3 linked regions of the Arabidopsis thaliana genome follow. The protein of the gene in region 2 binds, or shares a complex with, the protein of the main gene of each other region. Each region holds a gene or a part of one and is shown on either strand. Other genes may lie near its edges. The genes, in order: AT5G26110, AT4G22720 and AT5G53045. A codon is read from its position in the direction of its gene.

Evidence for each region.
Region 1: the proteins of AT4G22720 (region 2) and AT5G26110 are in contact, whole or in part, in a cryo-EM structure (PDB 8K20), measured with the Arabidopsis thaliana proteins. Residues at the interface, in NP_194003.1 of Arabidopsis thaliana: Glu147 (codon at 2,949), Arg149 (codon at 2,943), Arg151 (codon at 2,937), Phe194 (codon at 2,723), Lys202 (codon at 2,699), Gly203 (codon at 2,696), Tyr235 (codon at 2,600), Glu239 (codon at 2,484), Ala243 (codon at 2,472), Val246 (codon at 2,463), Glu247 (codon at 2,460), Glu250 (codon at 2,451), Arg251 (codon at 2,448), Ala254 (codon at 2,439), Arg272 (codon at 2,385), Met280 (codon at 2,361), Glu283 (codon at 2,352), Arg284 (codon at 2,349), Arg329 (codon at 2,214); in NP_001331017.1 of Arabidopsis thaliana: Ala19, Glu20, Lys41, Lys42, Tyr43, His45, Ile47, Leu48, Arg56, Gly158, Leu159, Val161, Asp168, Arg178, Arg218, Gly219, Lys221.
Region 3: the proteins of AT4G22720 (region 2) and AT5G53045 are in contact, whole or in part, in a cryo-EM structure (PDB 8K20), measured with the Arabidopsis thaliana proteins. Residues at the interface, in NP_194003.1 of Arabidopsis thaliana: Arg47 (codon at 3,249), Leu54 (codon at 3,228), Leu58 (codon at 3,216), Gln91 (codon at 3,117), Val92 (codon at 3,114), Ile95 (codon at 3,105), Arg98 (codon at 3,096), Val99 (codon at 3,093), Leu100 (codon at 3,090), Gln102 (codon at 3,084), Leu103 (codon at 3,081), Ile319 (codon at 2,244), Glu320 (codon at 2,241), Asp321 (codon at 2,238), Ser322 (codon at 2,235), Phe324 (codon at 2,229); in NP_850925.1 of Arabidopsis thaliana: Ile33 (codon at 1,977), Thr36 (codon at 1,968), Ser37 (codon at 1,965), Val40 (codon at 1,956), Asp41 (codon at 1,953), Lys42 (codon at 1,950), Ala78 (codon at 1,599), Asp81 (codon at 1,590), Val82 (codon at 1,587), Leu85 (codon at 1,578), Arg88 (codon at 1,569), Thr89 (codon at 1,566), Ile90 (codon at 1,563), Phe93 (codon at 1,554).

Annotation. Positions count from the first base shown.
Region 1 is NC_003076.8:9,117,002-9,122,752, reverse strand, and holds AT5G26110 (Protein kinase superfamily protein), read left to right. Parts: upstream 1-2,911; 5' UTR 2,912-3,156; intron 3,157-3,288; exon of another isoform or gene 3,289-3,382; 5' UTR 3,383-3,400; coding exon 3,401-3,463; intron 3,464-3,534; coding exon 3,535-3,648; intron 3,649-3,750; coding exon 3,751-4,029; intron 4,030-4,109; coding exon 4,110-4,223; intron 4,224-4,319; coding exon 4,320-4,392; intron 4,393-4,476; coding exon 4,477-4,514; 3' UTR 4,515-4,846; downstream 4,847-5,751. Other genes in the region: ASD2 (alpha-L-arabinofuranosidase 2), read left to right, coding at 1-26, 110-166, 258-447, 523-660, 760-918; AT5G26100 (uncharacterized protein), read left to right, coding at 4,936-5,463.
Region 2 is NC_003075.7:11,935,048-11,940,853, reverse strand, and holds AT4G22720 (Actin-like ATPase superfamily protein), read right to left. Parts: upstream 3,913-5,806; 5' UTR 3,711-3,912; intron 3,414-3,710; 5' UTR 3,388-3,413; coding exon 2,830-3,387; intron 2,745-2,829; coding exon 2,589-2,744; intron 2,485-2,588; coding exon 2,137-2,484; 3' UTR 1,885-2,136; downstream 1-1,884. Other genes in the region: CYP706A2 (cytochrome P450, family 706, subfamily A, polypeptide 2), read right to left, coding at 4,236-5,806.
Region 3 is NC_003076.8:21,507,064-21,511,787, forward strand, and holds AT5G53045 (transcription factor), read right to left. Parts: upstream 2,547-4,724; 5' UTR 2,476-2,546; coding exon 2,420-2,475; intron 2,018-2,419; coding exon 1,945-2,017; intron 1,843-1,944; coding exon 1,787-1,842; intron 1,646-1,786; coding exon 1,540-1,645; 3' UTR 1,278-1,539; downstream 1-1,277. Other genes in the region: RKD4 (RWP-RK domain-containing protein), read right to left, coding at 1-65, 187-640, 731-885; AT5G53050 (alpha/beta-Hydrolases superfamily protein), read right to left, coding at 3,471-3,667, 3,775-3,862, 4,363-4,724.

The sequences.
Region 1 (5,751 bases), on a different chromosome or scaffold from region 2:
TTCCTCCTTGGTTTGGAAAAGAACAGGTTTTTTTTTTCTCAAACCTCTATCTTCTTCTTTGGTTTTGAAAAGAAAAGTTAAAACACTCACTGTCATGTTTTTGTTGCAGTGACATTGTAGAAATGGTTAGCTATGCACCTCTCTTTGTCAACACAAACGATAGAAGGTATCTCTCACTTTAGTTTCAACGGTTTTTATCGGTATATCTTGAATGCGGTAATCAGAAACAAGCCCGTTGCTTTTGTTTTGTTTTTCAGGTGGATCCCTGATGCAATAGTTTTTAACTCGTCTCATCTATATGGAACTCCTAGCTATTGGGTCCAACACTTCTTCACCGAGTCAAGCGGAGCAACTCTTCTCAATTCTACACTTAAGGGAAAGACTTCTTCTGTTGAAGCATCTGCCATCTCTTTCCAAACCAATGGCAAAGATTACATACAGATCAAGGTTTGCTTATCTCCCATACGCACAAAACAAATGTCTAGAACCAAATGAATGTTCTGACCAAATATGAATACACAGGCTGTAAACTTTGGAGAACAATCAGTAAATCTAAAGGTAGCAGTGACAGGATTGATGGCAAAATTTTATGGATCCAAAAAGAAAGTACTTACATCTGCCAGTGTGATGGATGAGAACTCTTTTTCAAACCCAAATATGGTAAAACATATGAAGAATCAATCATACAAGAGTTAGGGCTTAGTATTGTTCTGAATCTTGAAAACGTTGCTAAGTTGTTTTCTCTGTTCTTTTCTGTAGATTGTGCCACAAGAAAGTTTGCTGGAGATGACTGAGCAGGAAGACCTTATGTTTGTTCTCCCGCCGCACTCGTTCTCTTCCTTCGATTTGTTGACAGAATCTGAAAATGTCATCAAGATGCCAATATCTGATTCATACAAGAAAACTTCAACAATGTGAAGAGAAACATCATCTTGGAGACTTTCATGTCTTTTGTCTTTACTCTTCAGTGGTTATTAAACACATAAACCTATATGTTCGTGAATAATACCAAAGTTAGTTGATTATAATCACGTTATGCCCTTAGATTACTTGATATGCAAGATTACTCTTCCTTGGTAAAAAAAAAACAATGGTAACACATTAGACCCTAAACAGTTCAGTCAAAGGAACTTACATTGTGTCGTCAAAATGCAGCTAAAAATAGCCCAAAGTTTAATTCTTTATTGTTTAAAATCCTTATCTAACAAACATTGCTTCTCACAGTTTCTTGTTTTTTTCTTTTCTTCAAACTATAATTAGAAAGACATCGAGAACATATCTTAATACTTGAGAAACTAAAATCCCCTAAATTCCAGCAATTTATCTGTCCTTTCAAAGCAATTTTAAGATTAAGAGAACCATAAAATTAAATTCCATTACTCTCACACAATTTTTGATTATATTATAACATTTTGTATGTTGGAGCAAGATGGCTCCCTTCATCGCCTTATTCACCGGCCTTTGTGGCTTCAAGAAAAACGCTCGGCCATTGGGAACGATTGAGACGATGTATCAGTCATCTCCTCGGGAGACCAAAGAAAGAGAACAAACAAATAATGACTTGCAGATCACGAAAAGTGATGACTTGTGGAACAAGGAAAGCGATGATCGAGATACTAATGCATTTAATGACGATAGTAATGAAGCGGACTCTGAGCTTCCGTTGCCTCCAGGAAGAAAAGGAACAATACGTGGAACATATTCGTGTAACAACATGGTGTTAAGAAGATCCTTGTCTACTAAGAAGAAACTGAGTGCGAGCCTAACGATCCAAATACCGAGATCATTGTCCATGGTCCTCAAACGTGACAAGGAGGAGGATAAATCTGTGAGGAAGAAGAAACTGAACGCAGATAATTCGATTCTGGTACTCCCAATTATACTTGGAGAGAGATGTAGGGTTCTTGATGCGGAAGAAGGAGATGAAGATCAAAGCCAAAGAATGGCAGAGAACAGAATATATCGTCCTAGATCCATGAGTTCGATCTCGATTTCGAGAACCAAGTCGAACATCGATATGAATGCTATTCCCGTAGAAGTAACATCAGAAGAACAAAAAATCTGATATTATGATGTCTAAAATGAACTAGCTTCATGGTGATTAGGGGTTAATTACTTAATTGTTAAATCTCATGAATCTGAGTGACATCATCGTGAAATATTTCGATGGAGAGTGATATCACCAATTTAGTTTGAAGGATCATGATAAAGAAAAGTACTCAATGACTTGGAAGCTTTTTTGAAACAAGTAGAGTTGTAATATAAATACCGGTTCACAAAAATGTAAACGAATTGATTTGGTTTCATATATAGACATATAGCTAAAGTGCATTTGGCTAAAGAATTTCACTATTAGACATTGTTTCAAATCATTAAAATTCACAAGCCAACATATTTGTCTTTTTTTAATACATGTAAAATTTATTCGAAAAAACGTTTTTACATCAAGTGCAACATTTGGTAAATAAATTGCGTACAAATTTCCAAGTTTTCATGGATCTATCTTCTATCTCATTGTTAACGAATAGAGGAGATCCAGTTTCAGACTTGTTTGTCGAGTTATCGAAGCAACTGTACGTGCTGGTGGTATTGGTGTCTCTCCAAATTATTAAACTCTCTAAGATGCATTCATTGTAATTTTTATTTTTTTTCTGATGAAGATAATTTTATATTCATCCAAAAAAAACTATCTAATTTGGGTAAAAATTGAGAATGACTTAAGGATTATTTAGAAAATAACTCAAAATGTATCAAATAGGGTTTTGGAAATTTTCCAAACCGAACGAACTAATCATAAACAATGCTGTTTCTGTTTTTCAATTCAAATTTGGATAAACCAAACAAAAACCGGTTCATGTTCTTATAATTTCGGTTTTTGATTCCGGTATGCACCTAGATAACCGGAATCAAATTAAAATTAAAAACCCTAGTTCCGACCTCGTCTTCATTGTTCACAAACGAGTCGCCGACGACAAACTCAGGCGAAAATTTCGCAGCTTCTCTTCCTCCGGCGGTGAAACACAGGTGAGCCGCGAGCCTTTCCGAAAGAGAAGCTTCTCTCTTTCCAACGAAAACAGGCGCCGCGAATATCTCTCTCTTCGTCTCATTCTCCGGCGAACACATACGAGCTCCTCTCCGTCACCACTCAGCTTGCAGGTTCAATTCGACGATAATCTTATGCAATTTAGAATTTTTGACCAACTTGGCAAGCTTGTTGTGTTAAATGATGAAAGGCAGATTTTTTGGTCAATGGTTGTTGATAACTGAAGTAGAGATCTTTAGTTGGAATAGACTTAAGCTAGAAGCGATTATTGTGTGGCCTTATTGCTAGAGCTTCAAAAACAATTGCTAAAGTCTCATTCTTTATGTTGGTTTTGTGTAGAATCCTGAGAAATTTAGAATGGATTGTGAGGAAAACGTTAGGGATGAATCACTCGTTTTGATTAAACAAGGAGCAGAAGCTGTAAGTGTCTCTGTGCGAATCTGTGTATATGTTTTTCTGTCAAGATTAAGTCTTTTCAGTTTTATCTATAGAGGGTGTTCGAGTCTACATTTGCTGGAAGAAGATCCATCGTGAAAGAACGTTTCTCGAAGAAATATAGACATCCGATTTTGGATGCAAAACTCACACTTAAACGCTTGAATGCGGTTGGTTTACTCCGCCTTTTTCTTGTTTCGTTGATGAAGTCATGAGAAAGAGAAGTAAAAATCGAGTATTTCATCTTATATGTGCTTATTTGTTGAATATAGGAAGCTAGGTGTATGACAAAGGCAAGAAAGCTCGGGGTTTGTACTCCAGTCCTATATGCTGTGGATACTCTGCTTCACTCTTTAACACTTGAGTACATTGAGGGGGTCTCTGTTAAGGATATTTTCCTTGAGTTTGGGACCAATGGGGTTGTTGAGGAACGTTTAGATGATGTTGCTGCTCAGATTGGGGCTGCAATTGCTAAGCTCCATGATGGTGGCTTGGCTCATGGTGATTTGACCACATCAAATATGTTAGTCAGAAGTGGAACAAATCAGCTGGTAAGTATCTTCAGAGGTTGTGATAAAGTTCTCTTGATTAGTTACTTATGATTCATGACCATGGATATGTCTTCCCTCAGGTACTAATTGATTTTGGCTTGAGCGTCACATCGACCTTGCCTGAAGACAAAGCTGTTGATTTATATGTACTTGAAAGAGCCTTACTCTCAATGCATTCGTCATGCGGGAATGTGGTAAGTGTGATGCAAATCATAACTTCACTACTTTTGCTGGGTCTGTTGTTGTTGTTGTTGTTGTTGTCTCACTGCGTATTTTGTTGTCAATTGTAGATGGATCGTATACTGACGGCGTATAGGAAGTCCTCAAAGCAATGGTCAGCCACGTTTAACAAGCTCGCACAAGGTTCTATCACACTCCTCTTCCACCTCCTCTTTTAAAACCAACTCTTCTTCAAACCTTTAGAAAGTCTTCTTTTGGTATATGCAGTGAGACAGCGAGGGAGAAAGCGGACTATGATTGGATGAGGCGATGAGCCAAGTTCTCCAGTGGTACTGTCCTTAAAACTTTGACCACAAAGCCACCCAAAATCTGTCCTGTATTATTATTCGATAGCGATCCAATTTGTCGATCAGTATTAAGGTATCAATGCTGAGATGTGTGATCGATTTTTTCAACCAGAAAACGATTATAGAACATATGTCAAGCAGGGCATTCTCATATAAGTACTTAAGAAAGCAACATTATTGATTACGGTTAGAAAGTTACTATATTTATCGATTATGTCAACGAACATATGACAAATAAAGAATGTTACAACACCATTATTACAAAACGTTTAACTACCTTTTATTTGAGCATATAACGGCTTCGTTCTCTAACCATTAACTTTTCATATATAACAAGAAAAAATAGATAAAACCTAAAAGTAATTTCAAAAAGAGTTAAATGGAAAACAAGTTGGTTCTTGGAGCCTTGTGTATATACCTTGTGTTACAAGGCACCTGCGGCGAGGAGAACAACCCTCTGATTAACCATTACGCTGATTACGAAACGATTCATCCTAGCGAATACTACAGCTCCGATTTCGAACTCAAAGACGGAACCAATGTGATCTTCGAAGCCATCAATGAATTGAAAGGGATCAAGAAACCAAAAGCAGGCTTTATGTGCAACTATGGCAAAAAACAATGGACAAGGTCTCTTCCGGGAGACATTTTCTACGCCAAGTTCTTCTTTTACAGCATTAATCCAAACGCAAAGGTCGTTCAACATTGCCATTTCCGGTCAAATTTGGGTTATGTTGATGCCTATATCAAGATAACCCCAGCGCTCGGACGAACATGTCCCGGTTACAGATGCGTTTTAGCGGTTAGACGTGAAGGTCTCTTGATGAAAGACACTAACGAACTCTTTCCTTGGACACCTTGGCCTCGCCGCCACATTCAACCTAAGTTGCCTAAGATCACCAATTGATTCCTCTGAATGATATTTTATGGGATTGGGTGTATACATATCTCTTCATCATTTTTTTTTTGTGATATATATACAGACATTGTTTAGTTCAGAAAACATCAATCAGAATTCAAAAGTTACTAGTGAAATGGGTTTTCTCCCCTAATATACAGATCCTATTTTCATTACGCCAATTGTTGAATTACTAGTAAATTCTGGAAACATATGTGTGTGCTGGTTTTATATCTTTGTACGATGTGAGAGTGTTATGATTTGTATGTGCATAAAATAAAGGAGACACAGAGATTT
Region 2 (5,806 bases):
CTTTGCATTGGTTTATGATTTAGACAGACTTTAAAACATTTTTAGTATATTTCTTCTATATCACAAATTCTATATAAAACAAAAATATGCTTTTTGGATAACCATTTTAGAAACAAACAGAACTCGGGCAAATCGCAAAATCATTTAGCTATTTGATCATAACTTAAGTTTACGAATAAAATCCATAGAACTTAATATCTATGTGTGGTGGTTATTATAAATGGTAAAATGGGTAAAAGTGTAGAGCGGCTTTAATGTGAGAAAACGATCTAACGAGTGAAGTTTATTTAAGTTCATGTTTGGCGATTGAGCACTTTGGCTTATAGTTCATAACTTTTGGAATCATTTCGAAACTTGGATCATCCTCTTCTTCTTTGTCAACACTCCACCTTCCCATTCCCTGCATGTGCCACGTGCACGTGTCTACTCCTGCATACACATACACATACACATATTCATATTTAGTCTCTTAAAACAAGTCTTTGGATGAGAATAGTACTGATTAAAGAATGTTTTTTTTAGATCCATATTTCTAATAGTGGTCTAATATGATTAGTTGATTATATATACTATAAAATATAGTATACTATAAAATATAGTATATATGGTCTAAATATAGTATTTAGTTAATGATGATATCGAGATTTAGAGGACAATTATTCCACTAACTCTCTTTTCTTTTCCTCTAATTATTTGTAGGCTATAAAGTAAATTGATAAAAGATTAGTTATAGAAATGCTATTTGTTGGTACATGTATTCTAACCTAATTGGGTTTAAGAACAAGACAGTTTGACTATAAGCAGAATCCAATGTGGACTGAAACATTCATCTTAATTAGATATTCTTAGATATACTCTTTGATTATATACAAACTTTTATCATATGTCCTATTATACTGATGAATCTTACTATGTGGACAAAACTTAATTCACACAATGAATAAAATTGGTGAAAATGATAACAAAAAACAAATTAGTGAAGTAATTAAGCACGTTAAAACTAAAAAACGAGACTAGTAGATTTGACGACGACGATCGAGTTCAATGTGAAAGCATAAAACCTTATCAACGGCTATAATTCAGATCTTGATTACTTCAAGGTTTTTTAGATGTATACAATAGTTTTAACAAAAAAAAAGATGTATACAATAGCAATCAGACAACTTTGATTTATCTTCAATCATTCGTCTTTTATTTTTTGGCATTTCAAGATGGAAGGAAGACTTTTGAAATACTTTTATCTTTTCGTTAACTACTTTGACCTTTTACTTGATTGTTTTACTAATAACTTTTGTCATTTTCTCCTTTTTCCCACGTCTTTTTGAATCTATATGATGTCTTTTAAAACTTTTGAAAATTTTATATTTAGTATGCATGCTTACTTACATAGTTACATGTATGAATGTTTTATCTAGAACTCTAGTCTCTAGAAGGATATCCACATTATGCTACAAAAGTAATATAAATATCGACCAAAATTTGTGTAGCCTATGTGTCAAGGTTCTGATTTACACTTGAAAATACGCAAATGAGTTCTAGATGATGGAAAAATGATACACTATATCTCGAATGTTTTTACAAAATTATTAGATAGAATTTATCTCTACGTCAAATTGAAATTTTTGACAACTTGTTGTTGCCTTTACAATTTTTATTAGCAAGATCAAGATTAGATCATTATGTATAAATTCTATTTACTCACTTTTCGTTTAATACGCAATGCCATAGAAGTGTCTTGTGATTAATTGAACCATCTCATACGTTCTACATTAAAAAGTTCTTACTTTTTACTTTTTAGTAGTGCTGTATTTTCACAGTTGTTTTTGTATGATTAAGGAAGACTAATGCACTAATCTCTCCACCATTCTCGGTAGAAATGTCGACTTTGAGATATCATATTTTTATTAAAGCAATAAAACAAATAGCGAAATGCAACACAAGAAACATTTGAACTTTTTACAAAGCTCACTTTGAAATTTGAAAGTGTTATTACATTCAAACCAAAAGATATCAATCATATAATTTGGCTAATAAAACACATTTAAAAGTCTTAACTACTTAGCAAAAACCAATTTATCGAGTAGAGAGAGATTCAATCTCAAATTTGATGAAAAATGAACAAAAATGGGGACAGACTCAATTCGCTGCAACTTTCTTATCCCCAAGTAGTACAGCTTCTTTCTCTCGCCACACCGCATGAACCTCGTCTGTGCGAAATCGTTGTGTAAAGGTAGAGTCTTCGATCGGTGTTTCAATACCATTAACAAACGCGAGTAGACCTGTGTAAGCGATCATAGCTCCATTATCGATGCAGTAACGGTCATCTGTTGCAAACAGCTTACCATCACGTTCTGAGCACATAGTCCTCATCATTTCCTGCAAACGCTCGTTACACCCAACACCGCCAACTATCAAAACGTCTTTCTTGTCACAATGCGCCATCGCTCTTTCTGTGATCTCAACCAACATCGCAAACACCGTCTCCTGCAAGATCAACAAACATGAATTCATGATATTACTCTTAAACAGTCCAAAATTTGCATTCATGTGACAAAATTCATCAGTTAAGAACCAAGTGATAGCCTTACTTGAAGGGAATAACACAAGTCTGCTGGTGTACACTCGTTATTCTTGAGCTTCTCCTCTGCAGTAGTTTCGATATAACTCAAGATTCCGCTGAACGATACATCCATACCTTTAACAGCATACGGAAGATCAATAAAGTTTTCTCCTTTCTTAGCAAGCTAGTAACAACACCAAAAACCGTGTTAACATTGTTCTTGAATCTTTCAAGAATTCAAATTTACTTTACTTTCAAATGAAATCTACCTGTTCAATGTTATAACCAGGGCTTGGATCATTAGAAAGCTTCAAGACTCTAGCAAACCGATCCAAACAATTACCAACAGCAATATCAATAGTCTCACCAAAAATCCGGTACCTACCTTCACTATAAGCAATCACCTGAGTGTTACCACCACTCACATACAACACAACAGGATCATCAGCTCCAGTAACTACTCTCCCCATCTCAATGTGAGCCACACAATGATTCACAGCAACAATTGGCTTTTTCCAAAGCTGTGACAATACTCTAACAACAATGGCTGAAACCTGCAACGGCGCTCCCATCCCGGGACCTTTCGTATAACAAATACAGTCGATTTCTTCAGGAGTAACTTGAGAAGTCTCTAAAGCTGATTTGACTAAAGGAAGAACATGGTCAAGATGGTGATGTGCAGTCTCTCTAGGAAGAAAACCATGACCAGGTGGTGTTATATACGTATGCCGAGGATTTGCTAAGATAGTACCGTCTAAAGTCACAATTCCAACTCCAATCTTGTTAGCTGATCCTTCGAAACCAATGGCTATCATCTTCTTCTTCATTTCTTTGATTTAAAAACAGAAACTTTCTACACAGAGAACAACAAATTCAGGACTAGGTGAAGTAAAAATCCAAACTTTATTCTGAATCAATTTGAACTAACACAAATTATAGCCTTAGACGTTGAAGATGATGAACAAAATTAATCCTTTCGTTGATTGGTATTGGTATTGAGAGAGACCCAACAAAGAGATTCGTATAACCTAGGTTTCGTTTCCTTAGATGAAAGAGCCCTAAACCCTAATCTAAACACAGAAACCAATTCCATTCGAGACACAACACACTGAACCCATGTACTGTTGTTTGATTTAAATCAAAAACTAACCTGAAGCTGCGTGATGGCCGGAATCAGAAGTAGCTCACAAGCTCAAAGCAAAACGAAATTAGCCAGAGAGTTTAAAGAAGAAAAAGACGGCGATAAAGTCGCCGGGAGAGAAACGACGATGTTGAGTTTCTAGACTGTGTAAACGGCGTCGTTTATAAATGGGCCTAGCCCAATAACGCATATTTTGCCGCTAAGAAGGACTCATTTAGTGTGACGTGAAGTATTTGTGATATAATTATACATTAATTAATTTAAATAATTACAATTTTAATTTGTAACCTTCATACTAATTTGTAATTTGTTGACCCAAGAATTTTAATCGACTTGCCAAAAATATAACTACAATATAGTTTTATAGCTTTGGCATCGACTATTAGGCGTTATTATTGTAAGTAAAACTTTGTTATATTAAATGTTATCAAAAATGTAACTTGACACATCTTTTATACAAAGCATCAAAACTCCAGACACAGATAAAGAAAAGTAAACTTTAAACAAGAAAACTCAATTCAACATCCTTCTTACTTAAGCTGTGTAGAGTTTTGGATCGGACAACCTTGGAACAGGAATAGCCACAAGTGGAGACTTCAACTTAAGAACAAGACCAAACTTCTCTTCAACCTCAAACTTCTGTCCTTGAGGAGCTTTCCAATCAAAAGAGTGAAGAAGTGAAGCAATGTTGAACAGAACAAGTCTCTCAGCCATGTTTATCGCCGCACAAATCCTCCTTCCTGACCCAAAAGGCAAATACTTAAAATCACCTCCATTGAAATCAAGCGAATTCTCCAAAAACCTCTCAGGTTTGAACTCGTTTGGTTCATCCCAATTCTTAGGATCTCTATGAATCGCCCAAACGTTGATGAAAATCTTGGAGTCTTTAGGCACAGTGTATCCCGCAACCACCGAGGTTTCGCTGTTTCTGTGAGGAACAAGAAGAGGAAGCGTAGGGTGAAGCCTAAGAGTCTCTTTCATAACCGCTTGTAGGTAAGGAAGCTTAGGTAAATGTGATTCCTCAACGATGTTGTCTTTGCCAACAACTTGGTCAAGTTCTAGTCGGATCTTGTTTAACACTTCCGGTCTGCTCACAATCTCTGCCATGGCGAATTCGGATGCGTTAACCGATGTGTCGACACCACCAAGAACCATATCCATGAGGAGAGACTTGACATGAGTCATGGACAGAGGAGCTTTCTCATCATCATCTTTAACTCTAAGTAAGTATTGCAAGAAATCTTCTTCTTCTTCGCTCTTCTTTCCCACCATTTTGACGTGACTCTCCATAACTCTATCGAACAAGAGATCAAGCTTCTTCACATGGCCTTTCATCTGCTTAACCAATCCTTGGAAATCGAATCTTGAGAACAACGGAAAGAAATCTGAGTAGTTTTGAATCCCTTCTATGTCGGAGATATCAGATATTAGGGTTTTGAGCTCGTTTCCTAAGCTCGTTCTCTCGTCTCCTTCAACAGTGGCGCCCCACATCATTCTTGTCACGACGTTGAAAATGGAAAGAAATATTTGCTCTCCGAGGTTGACTGGTGATCCTTCACGAGCCATTTCCGACATGTGGACAATGGTTTGTCGGGTTTCTTCCCGGCGAGTGGAGTAGGAAGCTTCGAGACTTGGGGTAGTGAACATCTTCATGACGCAGAGCTTACGAAGTCTCCTCCAATGGGTACCGTAAGGAGACCAGAGGATGTCTTCACCACCGTAAGTGTTGATCTTTCCGACTTCAGGGAGATCGTGGTTGGCGAAAGTGATGTCGTGGGTTTTGAGAACCTCGCGAGCCATGTCAGGGGAAGAGACGACGATCGCAAGTTTGGAACCGAGGTGGATCTTCATGAGAGGGCCATATTTTAGGGTTAGGGCTTGGAATTGCGTGTGGAGGACGTCAGAGTTTAGGAACGGGAGGTTTCCGACGATAGGAAGTGGCCAAGGTCCCGGAGGCAGTGGAGGTTCCTTTTTGGACTTGGACTTCCCCTGAATCCATAAGTAGCATACAACGGCCAAGAGAGCAGCGACGGCCAGCATCACGGAGCTGTACGGCTCCTCAGTGTTGAGGACCTGCGAGAGGTTGATGTTAGACTTAGACGACG
Region 3 (4,724 bases), on a different chromosome or scaffold from region 2:
GGTTCTTGTTCAATAAGAAACCTATGTTCCTCCAAGTTCTTCACTTCCTCTTCCATTCCAACATTCTATCACCAAAAACATGAACAAACTATTAACCTTTCGAAATCAAGAACGTAATATAATAAAACCTAAAACGCTACTCGTGAATCACAAGCAAATGCTATTAATAAATTAATGTTGTTGCACCTTGAGATTCTTTATAAGAGAGTTTAGACTCTTGAGCTTCCGGTGAGGCCACCGGTAAATTCCTAATTCCCTGCATCGCTTCTTCAACACAGTGAGTCCCACGTTCAGTTCTTTAGCCGCTTTCATGATCGGCCTATCGAAAAATTGTTTGATCTCAGACATCTCCAATTTGTCTTGCCTCTTTTTCTTAAGGTTCCTCTTCTTCTTAACTGTTACCTTTTCAACTTTCACGTTGGAAATGAGACCGTCGTTTTGGATAGCCAATGGTGAAGAGGAAGAGGAGTCACTTGAGAAGTAGGGCTCTTGTGTCAACAAGTGAATATCAGATGGAATTGTGTTATCCACTTCAATGTTTTCGAAGAAATCTTCAAAGCTATTGTAATGGAACTGAAAGTGCAACCCTGCATTTGGTTTCAAATCTTCCATATCTAGGAGAGAATCAAGCGGAGGCAACCTGTAGACCAAAAACGAATGAGAAAAAACAGTAAAGAAAAGAGAGATAACTTGTTTAGCAAGAAAAAGTATCAAAGGGTTTCCAACTTACTTATCTAACATGTCGTATAACGAATCTGGTTCATACTCGTTTTCGATTTTTGGAGAATCGAGATGATGAAGAGAGTTCTGATCCATTTGTTGAAGAAACAGTGATAGAAACAGAGCAGAATAGTTAAAAACAGAGGAATGTTTTGACGAACTCATATATAGTCTCTGTAAAAACAAAGATGAATGTTCATAGGGATTGCAATGTAATGGGAGTTACGAGTCCCAAAGCGTATTAGAAATCATTAAATGTTAATCTTAATTAATTACCGTGTGACTTTAATTAAGTATATATGATCACGGGGGCTGAATTGTGTGTAGGTTAGTTGCTTCTTTAATGATGATGACGATTATTTTTTTCTACTTCCTCTAGTCAAAGTCAATGCATGAAAGTTGATAAGATCATATTGCTAAAAATTCACAATCGATATTAAATGAATTGAGTTTTTGTGTATTATCGCATTAGATGATGCACGTGTTATATGTTACGATGATAGATACATTTGATGTTGAAGATGATTAAGAGATAATGAGAGTCTCCACTAAGTGATAATTTACTTAGTAAATGAAACAAAGAAAACGTAGTCAAATCAAAAGCTTTAAATGTAACCATCTTTTTTTCACTTCTCAAATCGAGTTCGCACTACATAATAATACTCCCAATAATAATCTTGGGAGTACATTGTTTGAATAAATCTGTGAAAACCCCAAGATGATTTGAGCTCGAAGAAGAAACACCAAAACACAATGTAATTTTGAGTTCTTGAAGAGTAATGAGAAAGAATCAAGCTTTTTTCTCTTCATATTGGTGTTTTACTTTTGACCAAATTCTTGAATTGTTCTTGTGGCCAGTGTAAGAACGTCTACAAATGCAGAGAACGAAGCGCGAAGCAGCCTTGCCTCTATTGCTTCAAAGTGCCTGTAAAATTATCCAGTGAGAAAAGATCAAAACTAGTGTAAGAAGTAAGCTAAAAGGTTCTATGGACAAGAGATGTCTAACTAAAGCCAGTTTCAAATCGATAAGTGATTCAACGACGAAGAAGGACTTGAAGAAACTCACACAGAAAGCTTGTTGTTTGATACTGACATAACTCTTCTCACCTTATCAGGCTGCAACTGCATTAATGTTCACAACAGAAGAAACTCTAACATCAGTGAAAAGCTTGTTGGAAATTAGATTGTATTCATATGTTGGAAGTGAATTGAGAAATTTCAAACCTCTTTATCAACAGCCAATGATGTATAAGCAATCAAAGCATGTTCTTCTGATTCAAAACTCACATCCAAATTACTGCACATTACCAAAAGCTCTGTTACATCAATCTCTAACAACTCTCATTGAAAAGATACCAAATTTATTAAAGTCTATAACAGTGTAATCCTCAATATCGTTGTCCAACACTAAGCCAAGCACTACAAAGGATGCTTAGAAGTTCAAATTAACCTAATTGAGCTGAGCAATGGAACTAACTAGGTCGTATTCCTGGTTTATGTGGGCAAAGATCGAGACTTTCGAGTCTATTCCTTCAAATGTATCAGACCCAAGATTTTTATTATCGAATCCGTATGTTCTAATTTCAGATTCAGAACAAACACGTTACGAACAATTGAAACAAAGAGCTGAATCATTAGAGAGAAGAATCGAAATTTTCCCAAATCAGAGAAGCAAAGTAAGAGAATTTACAGAACATACCAACTAAAATCCCATGTTTGATCAGAACGAGTAGTTGCAGGAACAGTGGCAGCCATATTTGCTCCTTCCTTCCTTCCTGCGTCAATGGAGGTTTTGGGGAAAACCTTAAGCAGAGAAGCAGAATTTGAGTGGGCTACAAAACGGGCCTCATTTTTTGAAGCCCAAGGGCCAAGACTTTTCATAGCGAGACGAATTGACGAGAATGTCCTTTTCCGGAAACAAAGGTATGAGAAGGGTATATTCGGAGAGTATATCTTGCATGAAGGAATATTACTTTGAGCCTAAACTAGAATCTCGTCTACTCATTTCGCTATCTCTTCTCTATCTCTAATTCTGAAGATTAAACAATTCAGCTACATAACATCATTCAGACATTCACCCAAAGAAAAGCTTTAAGCTGTGGTTTCAGACAGAAGCAGTACCACTGTACCAGGCTCCAGGCATGTCCTCTTCTCATCTCTTTCTTATAATTCTGTGTTTGTTTCTGAATTAGCTCGCTTGTTCATGATCTTGTAATAAATATTGTTTCGTAACTAGAAGCTATCCTTCATGAATGTCTTTGATACATTAAAAACATGTTGAAAGATTCATGGAATCTGGAATGTTTGTTTTCCAAGTTGTATATGACTTGTAATTCTTGATTTTAGGCTAGACAAAACAGTTATATATGTTCCATAGGTACACAAAAACATACGAGTCTATATTTGAGATTTCGATGTCTTATCTTTACATATTATGTTCGTAGAACAAATGTTTGACATGGAGTGTGACGTTGTAATGATCCTCTACACGTGTATATATCAACAGTTTGTATCACCTATCCATGTAAAAGCACTGTCTCCTTCTCTTAGCCTCTATTTGCAGCAATAATATCTTTAAGCCCTTATGTCTCATCAGCTTGATCATTGAAGAACTGGCTCATTGCTTGTATGAAAATATCTGTCGAACGACGTCAGATTGTGATAGATCTAGTTGTTAATGTTCTATCTTTGATATAATTAAGCAGTGAGGAGCTTACTTGGTCGACAAATTGATATGTGAAGGGTTGTTGTTATGTTAGAGAAGGTCCAACTTTGACGGGGTTTACAGCCCTGAAAGCTCTTCTTGAATACTCAAATGCCAAAACCAGAAGCCCGAAGAGGAAAAGTAGAAAGCCATGGAACTTTTCCGCTATGAAATGTGCAGGAGAGGCGACATTCTTGCCTTCCGTTGAGCTTCTAATCAATGTTAGTCTCCTCTTGAAATAACCTAATAATTCGAAGAGCAAGCAAATAACGGAATGTTGATGTTAGTCTCAGAACGATCTTCAAAGAAGAAGAATGGTCTAAAAGAATGGAAATTGGGTATTTCTATACCAGGTGTTTCCATGGTGAGGTTAGTCCAATCAGTTGATATTTTCTTCATTTCTGACGCCTTGATTAACTCGAGCAGAGCTTTATTAACCTGAAATTGATTGACCAGAAGGTATGTTATTCGAGGTTCTGAGAATACCAACATGAGTAAGGAAAATGTGATCCCTCTTCCACATTGTAGCAATGTTGTTCCTTAAAGACTTCAAAGCCTGTAAGTCTTTATAGTTTTCTTCTATCATAAGTAAAAATGAGATATAAGTAACGGTATAATCGCTTACAATGTTCGATCAGTTGCTACAGCAGTCAAGTGTTTTTCCAAATAGGTTTGCCTTTAAAACGTTTCTCCATATACGATTAAATCAGTTCATCATATTCATAGTCAACTTATTCTTATTTTCAGAATAGTCTGATTCTCTTTCGGTCTTATATTGTTCCTGTTAAGTTACAGTAATCTGAGTATGACATTCATTAACATTTACTGCAGGTTGGATGAGATTAAAGAGCGACAAAGACTTTAGTTATTAAGTCTTACATTCATCAGACGCAAGAGAGACAGAGAAGTTAAGACCTAGCTAAATAAGACAGAAGTACCTCTTCTGTTCTCTCGTGGCTTACAAGATGACCTCCATGAAGATCCACCATTCTAGCGACTGGATATAGCCTCTGTGCCAGTCTTCTTGCGTAACATATCTGAGCAATCACATCATGTCTGCATATAACCCAACACATTCTCACATTAACTACTGTGTAAAGGTAAAGATGCTTTACAAGATCAACAAACTCAAGACTGAGTGCACAAGGTGACTTTGATTCTAATTTCTTTGGTGTTCCGTACCTTCCATGAATGACTGAGACAAGAAATCCAGCCGAGCGGATTAGTTCAATCTCTACTTTTGTGATTTTGTGTAACCAACAAGCGTTAATTTGGCCATCAAACCCGTACTTGGACTGCA